Linked DNA regions of Yarrowia lipolytica. The protein of the gene in region 1 binds, or shares a complex with, the protein of each later gene. Links are inferred from orthologs where the notes say so. Each region holds a gene or a part of one and is shown in the gene's direction. Other genes may lie near its edges.

Region 1 (7,392 bases):
CAACTATGTACTATTGCTGTATGTACTGGATGCGTACTGTACCGTAGTTGTGACCATGATTGCGTACTTATTGCACTCTTAATCTGATTACTTGACGTTGGTACTCCAGGTTAGATAAACTTTACTAATACCCAGATCACGGCATGCAGCTTGGTGACGGTTAGACCTTTTCTGATTACATACAACATGGATGGATTAATTGCCAAATACCTCCAAGATAAGGGATACACCAATGTGAGTGATGCGACGGCGCAATCGTTCTCCCTTTGATACTAACCCAGACCCTGGCTGCTTTTGAAGAGGAGTGTGATATCAAAGATGAACCTGTCACCATTGAAGAGTGAGTACGATATAGACGAAATAGTGCTTTCAAGTGACAAACCCGATGTTGTCCTCTCGTGGCGTACATCCTTTCTCTGCCTTTTCTAACCCAGATTGATGACCTACCTGCCGAAAAAGGAACAGAAAGACGACAATGTAGTCACGGAGGAAGACGTCACCCTGACTGTGCTGTCAACCAAGTCGAAAAACATGATTGTGGACACAAAGCTCATCGGTGGCAGAGTTGTCACTACAGATTCGACCAAGAACTTGACCTTTTACAATACTACTCTTCTGGAAGTCAAGAACCTCACCTTACCGGCTGTAGGACGAGTCATCGTTGCTGGAGCCAATAACACCACTCTGGTGGGATGCATGGATGGATCCATTGTCCAGGTGGATTCAGAATACAAACCCAGCAGTTTCAAGCCACATTCTCGGTTTGTCGGAGGAATCTCTGTTTCTGAAGATGGACTGATTGCGTCCATTGGCTTCGATAAAAAGGTGGTGGTCACGAAGCAGGTTGGCTTTGAACAGGTGGCGTTCATTGACTCACTGACTAACCCCACAGCGATTGCATGGACTCGTAATGGGCTGGCTGTGTCTCGAGAAGACTGTACCTCGATTCAACTTCTCTCCGACCAATTGGAGAAGCTCAGAACTATTCCTCTGGTCGATGCCCACTATATGCCCCACTCATTCACCGTGTTTGACATGGTCTACAACAACGATACCAAGGAGATTGCCTGTCTCACAAGCCATACGCCCTACGCAAGGGTCATTATTGTCAAGTCTGACGACACTGTTGTTTCCTTCCCTACTTTGATTCCTCAAGACAAGTACAGTCTGGGACGCCTTAGTTGGTTGGACGAGAAGACTCTCGCCATTGCTGGAGACGACGGCTCGGTGCGACTGCTCAACCAGACTACGTGGCGAAAGATAAACGTGGCAGGTTCGAGATTGCGATGCATTAGTGCTGGTGATGGCTACGTTGCCACTGCCAGCATTGATAAGGAGATTGAACTAATACAGATCGAGTCTCTGGGAGATGATCTTGCGGGGCTAAAGCTCGAATAAACAACCAAATATTGCTGTCAGATTACATACACAAGTAGATAACCTCGTAGTGTACATTAAATTACATCGTCCTAGACCGACCCATACTATCTCTCTCCCTCAAGCAGAGCCTTCTCGATTCCATCAAGAAGCCCGTCGATATCCTCCACCTTGACACCGCAGCTCATGGCCACCAGCCGTCTGTACTCGTTCATCTTCTCGCCAACCCCGGCATTGGCGAACAGCTCTACCACGTCGTCCACAAGATCCTTCCGTCCATGCTGGAGGTCTGTCAGCTCCTTGGCGGTCTTGAACTCGCCCTTGGTCTGTTCACGCGATATCTCCCGCTCCTCCTCGGCAACAAGCATGGCAAGGCCCTTCGCCTGTGACCGCTCGAACACCTTGCGTAGCTGGTTCACCCGTGTAGTCACACGCTCTTCAGCCTCAGAGGCAAGTTTCTCGAGCTCCTCGGCGGTGCCATGTTTGGCCTCATACTCCCGGATCGCCTCGTTGGTAGCGGCAATGTCTTCCTCCATCTTGGTGGCCATCTGGCGCACCTGTTGCACGTCGGCGTCCTTCTCCTTGAGCTCGGCATCAAAGGCGTGAGCCAACACTTGCAGGTTGTGCACTACGGTTCCGGCAAGATTGTGTGCGGCAATGGCAGTTTCGCTCTCGTGCAGCATCTGGTAGGGAGGCTGATGGTGGAGTGCCATGGCGGGCGGCGGGTGTTGCTGCATCTGTCTGTCGCCCTCCAGCAGATCCAGCGCAGTTCGACCGTCGGCATTGACGATATCTGTCTTGACATTGAAGTCCATGAGGGCACGGGACACCTTTTTGGCACCTGAACGGGCGAGAATATGCAGGGCGGTGTCGCCCTCGTTGTTCTGCGTGTCCATGAATTGTGACAGTACGCCTAGAGAGTGGTTCTCGCTAATTTTTGACAGCAAGATAGTCACGTAGTACTTGGCCGCGGACTGCGACTTGCTCACGTGCTGGGCAATGTGGTGAAGCACGGTTCTGCCCTGGCCGTCCACCTGAAACAGGGTGTCTTGCAAGATGTCCACCACTTTAGGGAAGGTTCTTCGGTCGTAGTTGTTAGTAAACATGATGGCCCTCGTCAAAGGTGTCTGGCCAAACATGTTGGTGGCTCGCACGTCCGATCCGGCCTTGAGCAGCAGCTCAATCACCCGCAGGTGGCCCATGGCACAAGCCCAATGCAACGCTGTATGGCCCTCCTCGTCAATGGGTCTGTGCACATCAAACTCTGCAGGTGGGTTTTCCAGGAACGCGGGGATCTTCTCGTCGTCAGCAGACACGAAGTAGTTGAGCAGGTCGTTGGTGTACAGATCCTTGGGGTCCCGTACCTGTATTGGCTTGGGCTTGGCCATCATGGGTCGAGGGTAGTTACCCATTTGTCGGTCAACTTCTTCATCGGACATGAAGTCGGACGAATCGTCAGCAACTGTGGGAGGCGATGGAGTCACGTGGTCGCTGTCGTCCAGTCCGTAAGACTGGGCCAGTTGGCTGAGAGACGACTGTCTAGAGTGTTGTGGAGTGCCTCCCATGGTGGATCCCGTTGACTGGGTGAGAGTCTCCATGCGACTGGGCTGGCGAACCAGAGGCGATCCCGTCACCTTGGTCCGCTTCTTGCGCTCCAGATTGGGTCTGTGTTTCGGTGCGGGAGGAGGTGAGCCATCCTCGTCGTCGTAGTTGAAGATGGGCGCAAGGTGTGAATCAACGTCGTACAGCGTGGCAATCTCTCTGGCCCGCTCCAGGGGGACCCACGTGCCCTGGTACTTGCCGTAGCCGCCCTGGACCTTTTCATGGACGCCCTTCTGGACCTCCTTTTCCAGAATCCGCGTTCGCTGAGGCTTGTCGAAGCCAGCGACCTTGAGGATGTGGGTAGCGTTGACCCAGCCGTCGGATTTGCGCCGCATCACGGCCACATTCTTACACTGGAACTCGTAGACGGGCACGCCCGAATACGTTGCTTTGTAGATGGACATGGTCGCGTAGTGCGTCGTCGTGTCGCGTTGGCGCAATAATGGGTTTCGGGTTTCGAGTTACCCTATGTGCTGTTTTGGACAACGAGAAAAGCCGTATGTGGGCTGGGTGTGCAGTATCGTAGCGAGGGTAATTTGGAGTCCCAGCTGGGAGGGAGCCAGATCAGCGGTTAGAGATATATAAATATATACTTGTTTGGCAGTGACAGAATGAATGTCGTGGGTGTGAGGGTTGCTTTTTTTTTTCTCTATATAAATCTCGTATGGCCTGCCCCTGGCGCTCCGCCTTACTTCTATTATCGTCTTATCCCTGCGGCAATTCCCAATTGGTGTGCACCTGAGTCCTTACAGCTCAGGTTACGTAATAGTTCCCACCACAAGCACACACCTAAACCATCATCACCCAACCCTAGCCCCAAAATATGCTTTTTCACCGCCAGCACCAACTGTCACCATAATCCACATCGATGGTGAGTATTGATACAGGCGTCCTGGGGCTCACGTGGGCCCCTCTCGATGCGATACGCACCGGCCCAACCGTGGGCAGACAGACCATGACTAACGCAGCTACCCTTATCCCTACTCAACGCAGCACAGGGTCAGCCCATGCTGGTGGAGCTCAAATCGGGCGAGTCCCTGAGAGGCCACCTGTTGAAATGTGACCACTGGATGAACCTCACGCTCAAGGAGGTCGAAGAGTTTTCTGCATCGGGCGAAAACACCGCCACCGTGTCCGAGTACTATGTACGAGGCTCCAACATCAAGGCTCTCCAGCTGCCAGACGAGCTACTGCACAGCATCAAGCAACAATACAGCCAGCAGCGGGAACAGCGACAGCGACAGCAGCAGCTGGAGCAGGGCGGCCAGTTTGGCAACCGACGAGGCAACCGAAACTACAACAACCAGAGCAACAACCCCAACCAGCGACAGCGAGGTGGAGGACGACGATATTAGACGTGTTTGTGTCCATGTTTGAACGCGAGCGCTGGCTACCGAAGGCCACGACCTTCCCCGATCTGCAGATGGCTACCATGTGTGAAGTTCCGCTTGATAGCCGCCATTCTGCCGATTAGTAATGTATTTTAGGAGATGATTGATCTAGGGGATTGTAGGTGGAGATAGTAGTAGCTGTAGACGAGTGGCGGTGATGGAATTGAGTACAATCGGCTTACGTAGGGGGACAGGCTTTGTACGTACTTGGATGATTTGGTTGCTTTCTCTGTGTCGCCACAAGTTCTCATTCGAATGTAAGTGATCACGTGGACAGAACTGTACCAGTACAAGTACAGGTGCCCGTGGAAGTAGCTTCTGTTGAGAGTTCCATTCTATTTTACAAGTAGTAATTGGTGGTGCCTGACTAGCTATAGAAGGAAACTTATCGTGGAACATGTGTGTGATAAAAAAGTTGGATGTTGGATCCTCGTCGTCGTTGAAAGTCTTTGTAGATGCATTACAATGGTTACCTTCTACCATCATACAACACCAATACCGATTCTTGTACACTCAGTGAGTTTCGGAGCAGAATTCTGTAGCTATTTACTGCAGTCCATTATCGCCATATTTGTTAGTTGCTACAGTATTGTACATACTTGTCATTGCTATCAGTCATACGAAGTCTAGCTATAGCAACCAAGTCTTCCACTGCCAGGTTGTGGTTGATATCTCTCGTATTCGTACCCGTGTGCTCGCGCGAATTGTTCTCAGATATCCGGTCATATGGAACTGCTCTAACTCCTACTCGCCGTCCTGCCACAAGCGACTGTTCGAGACTTTCACTTCACATCCAACGCAGAATAGTACGAAGTTACAGTTGCTCGGATTGCGGTGTTTATCTGGCTCGTCATGGGGTTTATATGAGGGGATCCCACAAGTAGACTATCACAGTGGTTTTAGAGGGAGGAAGGGTCCGTTGTGATTGCACGCAGTGGTTCATTGTACCTAAACTGATGTCATTGTTATCATCACTGGAGTCTACGACCCATCTATGTATGAAACGTGGTATGTACATACTGTAGCGAATGCACTGGCCATGGTCCGTCGGTCGGAAATTAAACGTCTCAATAATGTAGGAAATAACCATAAGCCATATGTTTAAAAGACTCTTGTGGTGTGTACCTCCGTAGAGCAATCTAAACGTTGGAGGAAGCTCTTCCGAGGCCCAGCTCGGTGGTCTTCTTCCCGATGTGTTGGATGTGGTCTGAAACTACAGTGTCTTGATAAGCATTCGGCGGTCAACTGTGTCGCGCATTTGGGAGGCTTGCCTCATGCTGCAAAGAGTAACGGTGCTGTACCCAAGCTTTGTATTTTCCTTTCTTATTATTCTACTCATTATTCTAACTCTCGTATGTACTGTACCTTGATGAAATATATATCGCGGTCTACTGTAGTCTACTGCTGTGGTCTGGCACAAGCAGGCCCAACCCAAATAGGCAGGAGGATTCCCAAAATAGCATAGCAAGGCAGACCCGAAAAACATAGCGCTTTTTGGCGAGCTCTTTTATCGATATTATATATGTTATGTTGCAGTGCTAGTTGAATTTTTTTTGCGCAGGCAAAAGCGGCGGTTTCGGTGGCCCCATTATTTCCGTCGAAACGGTAAACGTGCGGGCGTGTTGCTGCGGTTACTGCGCCACTGGCTGGGTCACGCGTGTGCCGAACTACAAGCAGACGCTAAACAAATTGCTTAAAAAACTTTTGTCCAAGGCTCTTCGCAGTAATCGATCCCCTCATCGAACCTTTTTGCGTCTCAGTCTCAGCACAGCGGATAACAGAAAAGGAAGAAAATAAATTAGAGATTGATGATTAGCACCACAGAGAGGCTGTGATAGCACAGGGTCGTAGTGGAATATGTATATATGGAGCTGTGGGGAAGAGTCCGAGTGCTTAAATACGGGATTTTATCCGCTTACTTGGGTCTTTGAACCCCCACCGCCAAAGTCGATTTTACTGTCTTCACACTATTTTACAGCCGACTCTGCCAAAACTTTATGGACTCCTGAAAGCCTTGTCTCGACTCAGCCCTCGAAACCAACTCTTACGGTCAGATAATCATGACGGGGACCAACGTGGTCCAGTATCTGAGCAACAACGATTTTGGTCGGTCCTACGCGGCCAAGCGGACAAATGTGAGTACCGGAGAGCGGGCACAGAAACATGCTCGATGGCATGAGACGCGTCGCACCAAACAGGAAGGAGAAACATGTCAGACTATCTAACACAGACTCTGCTGGCCACCATAGCTCCCGCGTTTGTAGCTTTTGGAATCCACAACCAGCTGTCACCACAACTCCACCTCACATCAATATGCCGAGCATTTTTCCCGAGACTCACGTCCGGACCCGGAGTCTCGCTCGCAGACGAAGTGTGCCAGATTTCGGCCATCCATACCCACTATACGACGTTTGAAATCATGGTGGCATTAGCGACGCTCGTTCAGATCTACACGGCCTTCAAGATCTTGTCGACAAGCGACGCAAAGGGAAGAGTATGGGGAGTACACATGTGTGCCATTCTGGCCACGGCATCCGTCGGAGTGGCCTGCTTCACCTATGCCCTGGGATTGCCGTACCCGGTCTATCTCGTGTCTGTGGCTATGCAGTGCGATAAGTCGGTGCTGGCTCTGGCTGCCATGTACCTCTGTGACATGACCAACGACGAAGAGAAAAACACAGAGCGCATCTCGGAGGTGGCAGAGAAACGGACCACAACGGGCTTCTTTGCAGGCTGGCCGGATCTACGTCTGCTCCCGCTGATTCAGCTGCTGGTTCTACGTATTGTCTGTAAGGACTGGCTGGGTTCCACAGTTGGACGAATCCTGGAGGAGTCTGGAAACCCGCTTTTGGCCATGCTGCTGGCTCTGGGTCTCGCCGCAACCTTCTACATGTGGTCAAAGAACCTGCCCGAGTTCAGAGCTCTTACAGGACCCTGTTATCTGCACACCCCAAAAGAGTATCGTGATTCCAAGGACACGCTCTACTCCCCCAACTCATCCACTGCTGATCTCACCGAGAAG
Region 2 (7,147 bases), on another chromosome or scaffold:
CCTGTTGTGCATAAATGCTGCAAATGTAAATTCGCTACAGTTGTACTAGCCTGTGTGGGAGACCAGGCAAATGTGTTGCAATAAGTGTGATGAAGTGAAACCAAGTTACTATATGAACTTACAAGGTCACATATCGCAGTATCGACTCTGTTCCTCATATAAGCTGTTCTCAAATTCGCTATAATACTTCTTATGCATCAATGCCGGGGTAAAACCCCAGCCGACACGGCTCCTGAACTTTGAGCAAGCCGCAACGGAGTTAAGACTGGCGGTTGAACCTTGGCTCGTTACCAGGAGATGACTGACTGCCATCGACAGAGACAGTGACATTTTATGACGGTAGTGCATACCTTTGGTTGTGACGAACTACTTGCAGAAACTACTTGTAGAACTTGACAACTTATGTGACCTCCTTATTGAGAGAGTGATTCTCTACCACTCACCTCCATCAGCGAGCTCTCGTTTAAAGTGCAAACTGTACCCCCACTATAAATGGCACCTTATACGAGGTTGGTGGCAGGTACAGTATTTGCGCTTCTCACGAAAGAGAGGTTGACGGGGTGCAAATGGCCAGAGGGCACAGTATATCCGACAAAATCTTGACACGGGAATACTGTTCAAAGTTTGCTGAAGAATGTTGGTTGTATTCTTAAGCAACTTTCCAACTATGAGAAAGTCATAGTTGAAAGTCTAGTAAAGATACTAGTAATGTGGGGGTTCAAAATATGCAGAAAAAAAAAAAAACTTCTATCCCGGCACTGATAAAGAATATGACAAAGAAAAATCCAACAGGCTAGGTAGAATTCGTTTTATAGTCATTAAATATTACCAAGTTCCAGATTATAGCTCTAAGATCCCGAGATTAGTGCACACTCATTCTTTCTCAAATTGCAGATGTACTAAGAAAGTACATACTGTAAAGTTATGGCAAGTGATCCGTTTAGGGAGTGTTTTACCAGAACATACCCCATTGTTCGGATGTCACAGCACATACGTGTTCTGGCTTTCTGCGCAATGTAAGCATCCGAAGGTGATAATTTCTATCCATCTTTCCTCGTTATCATGTCTTCTCTACAACATCGGTATCACTCTCTGGCCGCCAGCATTCACTCACTCCAGGAAATTTCATTCCCAGTTTTAAACCATCGCCATGCATATGGAACATTGAACACACCACACTGCACAGACCCACGAACGACACATTCTTTCAACAGCATGGGCTTTCAGGATTGGTTTGCGCAAAAGTCGCGCAAGTGGGCGGCACTGCGCCAGAAACCGGCTATGAGATTGTTCATCTGGTCAACATGGATCCCTGTGGCAATATGTTTTCTGGACCACGCCTACTTTCTCGGCCATATCAGCGGCAACAGCATGACCCCTGCTCTGAACCCCGACTCAAATCTTGGCAAGCGTGACATTGTGCTGTTGCAGAAATTCCTAATCAAACAGCCCGGTTACCTCAAGGTCGGAGACGTGGTGCTGCTGCGAAACCCCATGGATCCGGATAAGTTTTTGTGCAAGCGGATTCTTGGAGTGGGAGGCGACGAGATTGTGACCCGCCACCCGTACCCGCAAAAGACGTGCTTTGTGCCCTTTAACCACGTGTGGGTCGAGGGCGACAACATCCATTCGTTCGACTCCAACAACTTCGGTCCAGTGTCACTCGGTCTCATGCATGGCAAGTGTCCCAAGGTGCTGTGGCCATTTAACCGTTTTGGAGCTATTCCTGACGGAGGACGAGAGGCCCGGAAGGAAAAGTTGGGGTATGTTGATGATGTTGTTGAGGGCTAACTGCGGAGAGCGTAACGAGCCGTGGTTAGAAGCGACAAGCTCCATTGCAATCCTCTACCACTCAGAGACTGTATATATTTGCATTTGACGATTTGATGACTAATTTCAGTAAGTCATGATGAACCAATACTTGCGTAGGGTACTTTTGGACAGACAATACTGTAATGTACTGTAATGTACTCGTAGTGGAGATGGTTTCGATCTACAAGTACATACTGTAATGGAGGTTGAGGTAACCGTAGTTACATCCTCTTCCATGAAAGGCTTTGTACGCTCAGACAGGCTACACAGCATTCTCATCAGCCGTAACACTCATGAATTGTACACTATCGTCAGTAGTACAGTTGTACCCATATACAACATTTACTCCCACTCATACACACTACCCACTATCTGTTATCATATCGTTACTATATACATGACTCTTATATACATCACTCCTTGGGGAGCTTGTTAAGGAACTGGGCAGGAATGTTCTCCAGAATGTCCTGCTCGGACAGATCCAACTTTTTGTTCTTCAGAGCCTCCTCAAACACGGCGGCGGCGCCCATCTTCTCCTCCACAAGATGTTGCAGCACCCGGATGGCGTTCCAGGGAGCCACGGGCAGAGGGTTGGACTCTCGGTACTGTTTGATGTAGCTGAGGGCCTCGGCGACTCCCTCGGTGGTGTCATTAGCCAGGAACATGAGGTACTGCTCAAAAATGTCTCGCTTGGGCTGGTGCACAAAGCCGTGGTTGGCAATGGGATTGCCGTTCTCGTCGGTGGCTCCGCTGTATCGCTCGTACTTGAGCTTGGCACCGTACTTGACGGCCTCGATAATCTTCTCGTCCACCTGCACGCCAGCGTTGGCTCGGGGGTCGGTGGAGAAGCCGTAGTAGGCGACAAGGTGTCGCTCGAGCTCCAGAGACAGCTCGCTGTCGTAGACGGCGTCAGCAGTGACGTACTTTTCGTCAAATTCGGCGTTGGCCTGGGCTCGCACCTCGGGAAGCACCTGCTGGACCTCCTCAAACGCTCTGTATCGCTCGGCCAGTACGTGTCGAATGTTGACCATGGTTTCGCCGACTCGGTCATGCTCGCTTCTGTAACCACCGTTCTGGTTCTCAAAGTGCATTCGGGTGGTGACTCGTTCCTCCTTCAGAAGAATGTTTCGCTCCTTGAGACACACGTACCACAGAGCATGGAGATCCTCAAACGACTTTCGTCGCAGCTCGGCCACACTCCAGGGTCGCGTGCTGCTGTCAAAGCTCCGCTGATCCCGTACAATTTTCTTGTCCTTGCAAAAAAACTGCCACAGAGGATGCGAATCGGGTACCTCGATATTGTCCAGAGCAGGCGCAATAGGGGCCTTGAGCTCCAGCTTTTTGACAAACTCGTTGCCGGTCACGGAGCCGGGCAGCGGCTTGGGCCACTTCTTACGACCCTGTCGAACAGCCGATGTGTGTAGCGATCGGATCATGGTTGTGTATGTTCTGTTGGATACAGTCGTCAGTTGAAAAAATCGCTTGGGAATCTGGAACTTTATTCTCCCACAGGATTTCACCTCCCAAATTTCGCTCGGTAGGTGCTAGCAGAATAGGGTTTCATGTCATGTGACGCGTGTAGAGAGGATCAGTAATAGAAATGGTCTTCAGGGCACCTAATTGTTCATTAAAAAGATGTCAAGTCCTTAACATCTGACTTCTTTCAATGTCAGGACTTCCAAAACATGATGGTCCCTCTTCCTTGTGATGTTCGGCACCATATTCTCTCTCTACTGGTACAGTATGTAGTTATACCCACTCACATTTCTACCCACTACTAGTGCTATACTTACAGTCACCTGAAACGGTGTTGACGCTATATAGACCGACCACCATGCGACATACTAGACACCTATTAAGAGATCAGTTACACTAACGACATCCCCTGTTGCAACCACTACCTCCTATCATACCAATACCACATCGTCTTCTGCACATCCAGCTGCCACCTCTACACTCCTCCCAACCTACCCTAACCCCATACTCTCACCATCTCAGACACTAATCAGCATCTATCGACAGACACACCACACATCACAATGACCGACGTCGACACTTCAGGCGGCTCTGAGCCCCTTGATCTCATTGGTCTTTCTCTCAACGAGAACGTTTTCGTCAAGCTCCGTGGAGGACGAGAGCTTTATGGACTTTTGCATGTGAGTAGCAATGTGAAGGACAATGAGAAGATGGCAGGCAAGTCAAGATCGGTATGAATCGGATACATATCCACTGAACATGATACATGTGTAAATGTAATGTCTGTTGCTGTCCGCTAATGACCTGTCCTAGTCCATTCTGTTACTAACCCAGGCCTACGATATCCACTGCAGTATGGTGCTTGGAAACGTAGAGGAAACAGTCTTCGAGTACGTGGAGGGCAGTCCAAAACTGGAGGCCCGAAAGAAGAAGAGCGAAATGCTTTTTGTTCGAGGAGACTCGGTCATTCTGGTCACCTCTAACCCCCCGAAGCGACCTTAGGGCATGTATTATAGTAATGGATGGTTTGAATAGTGCAAGCTTGTGAGCGCCGTAACCTGGCTAGAGGACGTCTGGAAACAGGCGCCCCTAGGTGTATTCGCATGAAATTGCGGTGTAAGGATTGTGACAATATACAGGTTCTGCATAGATCGTCCTATTCTGAGTAGAACATCAAGGTCGCTACCGTTGTCTATAGAATTTCAAAAATGGTTAACAGAGTCAGGATCACAAATACTTTTACTTGCAATTACAAATAGGAGAAATGTCAACTACGCCAGCATTCACCTCACGATTTATGACAGTATATCTATTTATACAAGCTATTTTATATACGATGAACGATGAACCTCCCTAAATACTATTTCGCCGGGCAATGGTTCTCTTATGTTTGGTCTTAACATTCTCCATTCCAGGGATAGCAGGAAACTTGCCATCCTCTCGCAACTCGGTCAGGAACTTGTGGCCGTACTTGTTACCTACCCTATAGATGTCAAGGAATTTGGCGAAGTCAAGAGTAGCAAAATCGTCAATGGGGGGACGCATGTAGATGACGCCAGGGGTGTGCTTAGCCTTCTCAAGAGCACCCACTGATGATACGTATGCCAACCGAGCCTGAATTTCTGCCAGGTTGGGAACATTAGGATGTCGACCAAAGGGATTCCATCGGTTCCACATGACCCATGCACCAGACAAGGAGTCACCGTAGTTCATGGGAGTGGTATCGTCGATAGATCCGACATCTACGGCAAATACCACGGAGGCTCCCTGAGCCTTCATCTCCGAAACAGGCAGGTTATCAACATAACCTCCATCCAACAACATAGATCCATTGTCTGTCAAAGGAGGAAGAAGACCAGCAAGAGACATACTTGCTCGAATGTATCTCCACGCATATCCAGATGTGTGGATCTCCATTCTAGAATGAGTAATGTTTGTCGTGTTAGTGAAGTATCGGAGCCAGAAGTCTTCGATACGGGAGTCGCCAAAAGCTTTCCAGATTCCTCGGTTGAACTCGTGACCAGTGGTGTATGAGGTGGCAGGATAGGTCAGATCCAAAGCCATACGCCAAAGAGAAGATACTCGTCCAGAGAACTTCTTGGCTCGTCCATAGATGGGCACCAGATCGTATTCTTTGGCATAGAGCCCCCCTATGAAGGAACCGATGGAAGTACCTCCCACGAAATCAATAGGAATACCAGAGTCTTCGAGAGCCTTGATAATTCCAATATGGGAAATACCTCGAGCTCCTCCTCCGCCAAGAACAAGTCCAATAGCTTGTCCAGAGAGGATTCTGGCAAGTCGATTGAAGTCGTCCTTGTTGGCCGAAGACGTGCTATAGATGTTAGCCTTGGGGCGGTACATGGAACGGAACTCTTCTTGGATCGTTTGGACCTTGTTTTTGAGGTTCGCGAGGGTTCCTGTTCGCTTCATCTTTCGGATACTGGCCAGGACATCAGCTTCATGACGAGGAAGATCCATCTGAACGTGATGATGGGTGTGAACCCACACTCGAGGCTTCAACCACGCACTAGTGAGTCCAGGAGGAACGTATCGTTCAGGGTGAATGAGAACCATCTCGGTTCTGGCAGTGGTTCGCATCTTCACCAGCACACGTTCGTACTCACCAATGTCAGGCTCGGAACGAGCGTCAGCGACAAGCAGAACACAATCAGCCTGAGAAATGCAAGTATGGGTCCATGAGGAACCAGGAGGGGTATCTGCAACATACAAAACAGTCTGGTACCGGTCCTCAATGTCATCAAGGAAACCAGACAGCTTCAACTTACCAAGAGGGTTGAAAGCATGTCTGCCCATATGGTTAAGCACAGAAGCATGGTTCAAGTGACACGCTTCTCGTCCCACCGCCTGCATACCGTTGTAAAGTCGTCGTCCAAACTCACTCACATCAACATCCTGAGAGATGGGAACAACAGCGATAGTCAAGTAACTATCATGGTGGGCAGCCATATCAAAGGTGTGCATTCGTCGGGGAATCGGAGCGGAGTCTTCCATTAGAGTACGGACTCGTGAAGCCACAATTCGGGAGATCTCAAAGGTGATACTGGGGTAGTGGAGGGCCAAAGACTCAAACAGAGCTCTGGGAATTTTGGCCAGCTCAGCATCTCGAATGGCAACGAGAGTAGAGGGACGTCTGGTAAGTGTTAACACCTCCAGCTCGCCAACAGACTCGCCCTTTCCATATTCTCCGATACTGGTGAGATTCTTTCGATGACTCTTTCCATCCTTCGCATCACCAGATTCACCTCCCACAATACCGGAGTCGCCCTTAGTTTCAGCCACAGAACGCACTCGGCCGTTCAAGACAATGTAGATGGCATCCGCTTCCTGACCCTCCTTGTAGATTTTCTGTCCAGCTCGAACCTGTACCCACTCCATAGCGAAATCAAGATGCAGTAAAAGACGAGACAGTACCTTAGTCAGAGACTTTGCCATGGTTAGATGGACCATGGGGTACTTGTCAGACATGCGCTCGATTGCGGCTCGAGGAAGGAAGCCGGCATAGACGTCTGTTCGGGCGCGCAGATCGGCGAAGGATCGGTGTCCGAGAATAGAGCCAATATATCCACCAACCCCACCAGGCTGAACAGTGTATAGATCATGGTAAATCTTGTGATGATCTGTGTATCCGACCTCAAGAACACCATCAATCAGGTAGTACAATCCAGGAGTGGGGTCATCCTGCTTGATGAGGAGAGAGTCTTTCTTGAACAAAACAACGTCCATGTACTGGGCTACATCGTTTCGGATTGTATCAAAGGGGGCAGCCATAAGTGAGTCTTCGTCTACACTGGAAGTAGAGGTTTCAGATCGAGCGTAGAACGAATTCTGGGACCGC
Region 3 (7,507 bases), on another chromosome or scaffold:
GCGTTGACTTACGTTCTCCAGATCAACAACCCCGCCAAGGACTAACCGCCACTAGCCAGAAACCACTTTACTGGTGGCTAAAAACGTGGGCATATGAGTGAGTCTAACTCACGATCAAGGGAGTCGAGAAGTGGGCAGAGCCACATTTAGTGGGCAGGAATCACAAACCATTTAGGCCACTCAATTGAGTACAGTAGCTACAGTATGAGTACGAGTATGGACTGAGTATCGAGAATATCTAAGAAACTCAACCCAACGCAGGGTCTAGAGACAATGAGGGGAGGACCAGCCCGTACATAATTTTGCGCCAATTAACGGCGGGTACAACACAATGGAAGGGTTGCTCTGGGGGAGGTTGACTACAAGTAGCTGAGAACTTCGCGGGCCGCTAGTAACCGTTGAGGTTGAGGTTACATTCGTTTAATTGACTATCGAAGATGTGGAGAGTTCAAAAGGTGAAGTTAGTGGATGTGCTACTGTCTGTGTATACTGTAGCAGAGCAGCAACTGCTAGAAAGACCACAAGCGACGCAAATATTGAAAACGTGACGTCGCAGAGGATTATGGAAGCAGTACGTATGCACGTTTACATCCCGGTCTTAAGGAGCCTTCTGTAGCTAGCATTGTCCACACATTGAAGTGTCAACTGTCAATAGTGTCCATCAAGCCCGACGCAAGGGTACTCGTAACTTTCATGCACAGAAGAATAAACCAAGCTACTTGCTGGGGTTTGCAACCCCAGTAGCTTCTACAGTACGTGTAGCTTATCATGCCCAGAACACGCTGGGAAAAAAAAAGAGGCAGCCATCCATTTTAGCTGTTTGCTACCGTCACCACCCTTGTTACTCAATCGAGACGCCGTTGTATTAACGACTGTCATCATCGGGGCCACTTCAACAATAGTATTGTTTCTGAAGGAGGGGGTGAGGGGATGGTGGGCCTATCAGTAGGGAGAGCTTGTGTCTATGACCCCGCAAAATGTTTAACTGAAAACCAGCGACAAAGAAATGGAGAAGGATTCTCAAGAGGCAATACATCCACCGAATTCAAAAATACAATATGGCGACGACGATCTCAATCTAAGGCGGCCAGGAAGAGACGGATTTTTAAGCGCCCTTTAGTGAAGCACTAACGGAACCCTAAGATGCAGGGCTCGACAGGCCCACCGTATCACTGAAACAGCCACCCTGCACATGGTTTGAGACAGCATGTAGGGATTGAACAAAGCAGTTACCGAGTGGATATCAACGTGAATGTGAGAATTGCTACGCATATGCTCGAGAGTAGGAATGGACACCGTACGGAACGGGAAACACGCTAGCTCGAGAATGATGCTAACGTTCATTGTAACCCTCGAACGGCCAATTGGTGACAATACCACGATAACTGACGGTGGGGTGTTCGGTTTAGACTGACAGTTGGTACCATTTCATTCCAGACTAAGAGAACGAATAAACGACACTTGTAGACTTCCGGCGTTGTTGCTCTGATGATGACTGCTAGCGTATGGAAGCCACACCAACAAAGCCGACGCCATAGCTACAGTAGTCAATTGTACCTGACTAGAGGAGGGTGGTAATAAATGTCCGCAATAGATTTGTATTATGGTTAATGTACGCTCTATGACCAGAGTCGACCGCTCAACAAGGTGTGAAAGTCATCGTAAATCTGGCTGATCACTGACGATCCCCAGATACGGTTGATGACCTCCTGTGGATTCTCGACGGCTGCGGTGGTGTCAAGCTACAAGCAGTCAATTAATGCGGTGAACTGTCACCTGTAGAAAACTGTTGTATTGTACCAAGACACTATTTTGTAACTGACAGGGCACCATGTTCACATCCCAGATCCAACAAGCTACATATCCGGATAGGGTTTCGGTTGCAAACCCTTGGTTAAAACCGGGGTTGCAAGGCATAACGTGGGCATATTGGAACGAGAGTTGAGTGGGCGAAAAAACAGAAATAGAGTGCAAAAGAAGTGAGGAGAGGATACCCCACATTTTATAGCGAAATATGTCAACCAAACATGGTTGCACGCTTACAGAAGCGCTTGTTATGTGGTTGTTTGTTCGATATTGTTTGATTGATGGCGTTGGGACAAGGTTCAGGAGTCGCTGCAGCCAAAGTCTCGACTTGCATACTACTGTGGGCTGCAAACAAGATGGGACACCATATCTGCCCCCGTGGTTGCAAGTAAGTATCCGTTGCGGTTTATTTACAGACAATGCGGCAAAACGAGACCGTTTCGGCATTAGTTTCGTGGATGCGACTTTCACGTCAGCAACACAAATCCATCGGACACAGTTGCATTGATCAGGCGCACATAGCAGTTAGGTTTAATCGTACATGGAGATCCACCTTTAGTGCTAAGGTGTGGCCCGAATCAGTAGGGTTACAAAGATCATGGGGTCATCAATCCGGCGGGTGCGTTCTGTCAACTTACAGGTGCACATCTCTTGAGCAATGCTACTACTAGTTTTCGCTATATTTTGTAGTAGAACTTCCGTGCAGTCTTTCGTTAGTCTGAACGTACAGCTCGTTACACCTTTCGACAAGCAAAGTAGTACCGTAGCTTAAGAGTGGTCGGAACAGACAAACATGGCGTCTTGATGTTGAGACAGAAATCGCCTACACGCTATAACTATTATACAGACATACTTACGTTGCTCTCCTATTATAATTGTGGCGTATATGTAAAAAATGACAGAAATGTCTCTAAGAGAGCAGCCAGGCACATTGGAAGGTCCCTACGATCCATCTCAGGCCACTCAGCTCCCTGAATCTTCATAGTTCTCTGTAAGTATCCACCAAAAAGTCAAAGTGACATTGCAGGGGTGTGTTGAAGTTGGTATTTGGATACCTAACCATGGGACTGAGAAGCTCAAGGTATAGCTTTAGCACTGACCGCCCTAACCACGTCAACCAACGCGGTGATCAACAACGTTGGCTACTTGTAGTGTGCGATTCTTATGAAACACCCATTCTTCGTATGTACAATGTAGGTACCTGGAAGCAAAGCTCAACAATGCAACACATCTGTCTTGGGTGAGCATCCAAGTCCGCCGAGTCGGATAGACACCTTCCAAAACCGGCTTTACACTGCCTACCGAGGTAAGTAGACTCAAACCATAGACCTGTAGTCACCTAAACGAGCTCTTTGTTGCCTATGGGTCTGACGCACAAATTCCGTGTCTCTGCAGTAGCGGGACTCTAACTCAGCCATACCTTGTCATACAAGGTGCTGTGGGATACAATGGCATTGAATGGATACCCTGTTTCCAGGACTCTATATAAACCACCGAAATCCTCCTCTCGAATATCCAGAAAACAACTACCCTTTCTTCTCTTCTCTCTTCTATTCACTCCAATCAACACATTACCAATGGTCTCTTTCACCAAGCTCGCCGTTGCCTCCATGGCTACTCTTGCCCTCGCTGCCCCCGCTCCTGAGGAGGCTGGCCTCATCCAGATGCGACAGGTTGTCGAGGCTCACTTCGGCGGAAACAGCGAGATCGCCAAGCGATTCGTTGACGATGCTGTTGCCCTCGACGCCCGAGCTGCTCAGGACTGGATTTCTCTCTTCAACGTCTTCCAGAGCTTCACCAACGCTGGTGTATCTCTCTTCCTGAACTCCATCCAGGCTCTCAAGAACGTTTCCCCCCAGCAGGCCAACGCTGCTATCACCCAGGCCATCCTCCAGGCTAAGGGAGCTCTCAACCAGCTCATCCAGTGGCTGCAGAACTACAATGGACTTGCTGGCTGGACCAAGGTTCTCGTCAACATGTTCATCTCCACTGGCCTGAATGCCTTCATTACCAACCTTGGTCTCTTCCTGATCACTCTTTCTACTGTCATCTCTCAGAACAAGTTGGTCAACACCTTTGCCGATGACATCAAGGGCCTCATCGCTACTATCAACCAGGCCGGTAACCTGCTCGCAGACATTATCCCCGGTTTCCGACAGGATGCTTCTATGCTTGTTGGTCTTAACTCTCGACTCCAGGGTCTTCTCACCAACTAAACAATTATGCCAACCATATTGTTCAGGATGTCTTCATTTCTCAAATAACTTTAATTATAGTATTTTTTCCGTTAACAGATTTTGTTTGTGAAATTGCCTGAAACACTAAGCTCATGTAAACAAAACTAATCAATAAATGGAATACGGATGTCACATTTTGTTCGGTCTTTGTTTCTTGAACAGAAATCAATCCACTTGGTCGCCTAATGTTTGACTAATAATGGGTACAATAGCTTAATATTGTAGAACAAGCGGGAATAAAGTTGCGCCCCTGGGGTATGTACTCATAACCTAAGTCTCAGATTGAAAACGAAAAAATGGACTCCAAGATGAACGAAAAAGAAGACCCATATCATGGAGAGACAGAATATCTTTCAACTCGGAATGAGGGCTGATATTAGGAGTATTCTGGCGGGTCACCAACGGGGTTGTTGGTGTGAAGTTGAGAATTTTAGAGGGTAATCTTTCGAAAGTCATAACATCTATATAAGATATCTATGTTGATGTATTAAGGGGACGAGTAGCTTCCAAATGAGACCAGACTCGTATATATTCAGCTTACCAACTGTCGTATTATCAACACTTCACCTTCCACACCCCCAAATTAAACTTCCTGGGACTAGCTCTCTCTCATAACCTAACGCACAGGTTGACAACTCTTCATCATCATCAATAATGGACCGACACGACAACCGTGGAGGAGTGAGTATAGCGGATCGAAGGCTCAGCCATCCATTCACACGTACTAACAACAGCGACGAGGCGGCCGAGGCGGCCATGGCAACGCTGGCCATTATGGAGGACACAACCAGCACCAAAATCAGCAACACCAACAGAATCAGCAGCAGCAGAACAACCAGAACCAGGGCCAGGGCCAAGGTCAGAACCAGGGCCAGTCCAAGAAGCTGGAATTCCCCAAGCGAGAGCCCATTCTAGATCTGTCTCGATTCGAGAACAAGCGAGTGGTTGTCAAGGTCACTGGCCGAAAGATCGAGGGCACCTTAAAGGGCTGGGATCAGCTCATGAACTTGATTCTCGACGACGTCAAGGAGACCATTTACGAGGACGAGGAGAGCGAGGACTTTGCCGAGTTTGAGGGTCAAAAGGAAGGCAAGGTGCGAGAGATCGGTCTGGCGGTCATTCGAGGCCCTAACCTGCTTTCTATCTACCCTCTTGACGGAGGAGAGGGAGTTGAGGTGGAGCCCAAGCCCGAGGTCACTATTTAATTGGATAGTAATAGAGTGTATATTATGTTGTGGTGGAAGTGAGATGCTGCTGTCGTTTTTCTTAGCAATTGTAATGGGGCGCCATCAGAGGTGTACAGTATGTACTGGGATAAGTTAATGATATGTTCGGCTCGGAGCAGGTATTGAACAGTGTAATGACCCGACATACTCTTCGTACATGTACTGAATTTCTAGTTATAATCTATAAACTGCAATGGTTTCAAGTAGCTACGTGCTGTAGTGTACTGTATGTGATAGGGCTGACTACGCCATGCTCTGGGTTCACTCACACGACCCAACGCCACCCCTACTTGTAGTCTTACTACTTGTAGTCAGTAGAAACGGGGGCGTGTTTACCATTAGAATGTACAATAATGGTGCTTATCGAATGGATAAAGGGTTAATATATCGATTTCGATTAGTAATGTATCGAGCTATTGTATGCACATATTCACGCCCTCCACACACCACACACTTCCACATATTAGACTTGCCTGTCCCATGCGTGTTGGGATAATTGGCTTCACAGAACAGCGACACTCACTGATAAACAACCAGTCACACTTCTCCAGCCACCCAGCGACGGCCATACTCGAAAAGTCACTGACACACTCATGTCAAGGAATTGAACATTTCAGCAACCATAATGCAACTAGAACCTGCTCATCTTGTGTACGCCGCATTTTGGACATTTGGGTTGGTCAACAACGTGCTCTATGTGGTTATCTTGACCGCCGCAGTAGACCTGGTGGGACCTCAAACACCCAAGGCCGTGGTGTTACTGGCCGACGTACTCCCATCGTTCTTGATAAAGCTGGCAGCACCATTTTTTATCCACAAAATCCCCTATAACCGCCGAATAACATTGCTGGTTGGCCTGTCAACTGTGGGAATGATGTCTGTGTCACTAGCATCTCCTCTGTTTCTCAAACTCGTGGGAGTGGTGCTGGCTTCTTTCTCTTCCGGTCTGGGCGAGGTCACCTTTCTCCAATTAACCCATTTTTACGATACCAGGGCTCTCAATGGGTGGAGCAGCGGAACTGGAGGTGCAGGGCTAGTGGGTAGCGGGCTGTTCATGCTCTTGACCACGGTACTCGGAGTTTCAGTCAAGACGTCATTGCTTGTCTTTGCATTCTTTCCCCTGGCCTTCTTAGGAGTCTACTTCTATCTCCTTCCTCCTAGAGATTATAACCGTGTACCAGGGGCCTTCCCTGTGCACAGCAATGACCCTGAAACAGGTATTGAAACACAGCCAATCACCTGGGAGTTTGTTGCTTCTGGATACGAAACTACAATGGTCCGTTTGAAGCCGCTGGTTATGCCTTACATGCTGCCTTTGTTTCTGGTCTACTTTTCCGAGTACACCATCAACCAGGGAGTGGCACCCACACTTCTGTTTCCCATGGAAGAGTTGCCCTTTTCTAAGTTCAGAGATGTCTATGTGACCTATGGAACACTATACCAGTTGGGAGTATTTATCTCACGTTCGAGTGCACCATTTGTGAGAATTAGACGAATTATGATCCCCTCAGTGCTCCAGTTTGCCAACCTCGTGTTTTGCATTGCACAGTCTATGTCACCGATATTACCCAACGTCTGGCTGGTGTTCATTCTCATATTCTACGAAGGGCTGCTTGGGGGAGCTGCCTATGTCAACACCTTTCTGCTGATTACCGAACAGGCTGATTTGGCAGAGCGAGAGTTTGCTCTTGGTAGTGTTGGTATGAGTGATTCTGCCGGTATTGTTCTTGCTGGTCTAGTCAGTCTCTGGCTTGAGCCTGGACTGTGTAACTACCAGGTTAATGATGGTCGAGGTTGGTGCACTTTAGAATAGCTCTCTAGCCTAGCTAGTTAATTTATTTTAACCAAGTTATGCATTACAAATCTATTTTACTGAACAAGCAAGCTACTCCACGGATCGCTTCTTCTTCTTCTTCTTTTTCTCTCCCTCATCGTCGCTGTCATCGCTCTTTCGCTTCTTCTCCTTCTTCTCCTTCTTCTCCTTCTTTTCCTTCTTTTCCTTCTTTTCCTTCTTCTCCTTCTTCTTTTCCTTCTTGGCCTTCTCTTCGTCCTCGTCTGGCGCAATGAAGGCCAGCTCTCTCTGGGCCTGCTTCTCTGCACTTCGAGCAGCCTGCTGTTGTCGCTTCTCCTCGTCGGCTCGTCGTCGCTTCTCATCGGCACCCAAGAAGAACTCTCCAGACTCGATCTGCAAATCCACCTTTCGGGGCAGCTGGGCAGGAGGGAAAGCGGTTCGAACCT

Evidence for each region.
Region 2: YALI1_A20849g (region 1) and YALI1_B14686g share a complex: the UniProt entries of both Saccharomyces cerevisiae proteins name them as parts of the spliceosome U4/U6-U5 tri-snRNP complex. The link is inferred for Yarrowia lipolytica from reciprocal best matches to the Saccharomyces cerevisiae genes LSM4 and LSM3.
Region 3: the proteins of YALI1_A20849g (region 1) and YALI1_F37998g are in contact, whole or in part, in a crystal structure (PDB 4M78), measured with the Saccharomyces cerevisiae proteins. The link is inferred for Yarrowia lipolytica from reciprocal best matches to the Saccharomyces cerevisiae genes LSM4 and LSM7. Residues at the interface, in NP_011037.3 of Saccharomyces cerevisiae: Glu23, Asn31, Val32, Asp33, Asn37, Leu38, Thr39, Glu45, Leu66, Glu68, Ile69, Tyr70, Ile71, Arg72, Phe75; in NP_014252.2 of Saccharomyces cerevisiae: Ile27, Leu28, Lys32, Tyr33, Arg39, Lys41, Leu58, Met59, Gly96, Thr97, Leu99, Val100, Ser101, Leu102, Ser103, Ser104.

Annotation. Positions count from the first base shown.
Region 1 is NC_090770.1:2,081,427-2,088,818, reverse strand, and holds YALI1_A20849g (uncharacterized protein), read left to right. Parts: upstream 1-3,847; coding exon 3,848-3,850; intron 3,851-3,947; coding exon 3,948-4,334; downstream 4,335-7,392. Other genes in the region: YALI1_A20884g (uncharacterized protein), read left to right, coding at 439-1,398; YALI1_A20855g (uncharacterized protein), read right to left, coding at 1,485-3,383; YALI1_A20839g (uncharacterized protein), read left to right, coding at 4,768-4,877, 4,926-5,295; YALI1_A20822g (uncharacterized protein), read left to right, coding at 6,431-6,505, 6,601-7,392. UniProt on the Saccharomyces cerevisiae protein: Component of LSm protein complexes, which are involved in RNA processing and may function in a chaperone-like manner. Component of the cytoplasmic LSM1-LSM7 complex which is involved in mRNA degradation by activating the decapping step.
Region 2 is NC_090771.1:1,464,775-1,471,921, forward strand, and holds YALI1_B14686g (uncharacterized protein), read left to right. Parts: upstream 1-3,851; coding exon 3,852-3,968; intron 3,969-4,122; coding exon 4,123-4,290; downstream 4,291-7,147. Other genes in the region: YALI1_B14658g (uncharacterized protein), read left to right, coding at 1,063-1,791; YALI1_B14680g (mitochondrial 54S ribosomal protein uL29m), read right to left, coding at 2,226-3,248; YALI1_B14733g (uncharacterized protein), read right to left, coding at 4,642-7,147. UniProt on the Saccharomyces cerevisiae protein: Component of LSm protein complexes, which are involved in RNA processing and may function in a chaperone-like manner. Component of the cytoplasmic LSM1-LSM7 complex which is involved in mRNA degradation by activating the decapping step.
Region 3 is NC_090775.1:3,797,077-3,804,583, reverse strand, and holds YALI1_F37998g (uncharacterized protein), read left to right. Parts: upstream 1-4,697; coding exon 4,698-4,724; intron 4,725-4,777; coding exon 4,778-5,248; downstream 5,249-7,507. Other genes in the region: YALI1_F38013g (uncharacterized protein), read left to right, coding at 3,255-4,022; YALI1_F37986g (uncharacterized protein), read left to right, coding at 5,895-7,082; YALI1_F37963g (90S preribosome/SSU processome component KRR1), read right to left, coding at 7,155-7,507. UniProt on the Saccharomyces cerevisiae protein: Component of LSm protein complexes, which are involved in RNA processing and may function in a chaperone-like manner. Component of the cytoplasmic LSM1-LSM7 complex which is involved in mRNA degradation by activating the decapping step.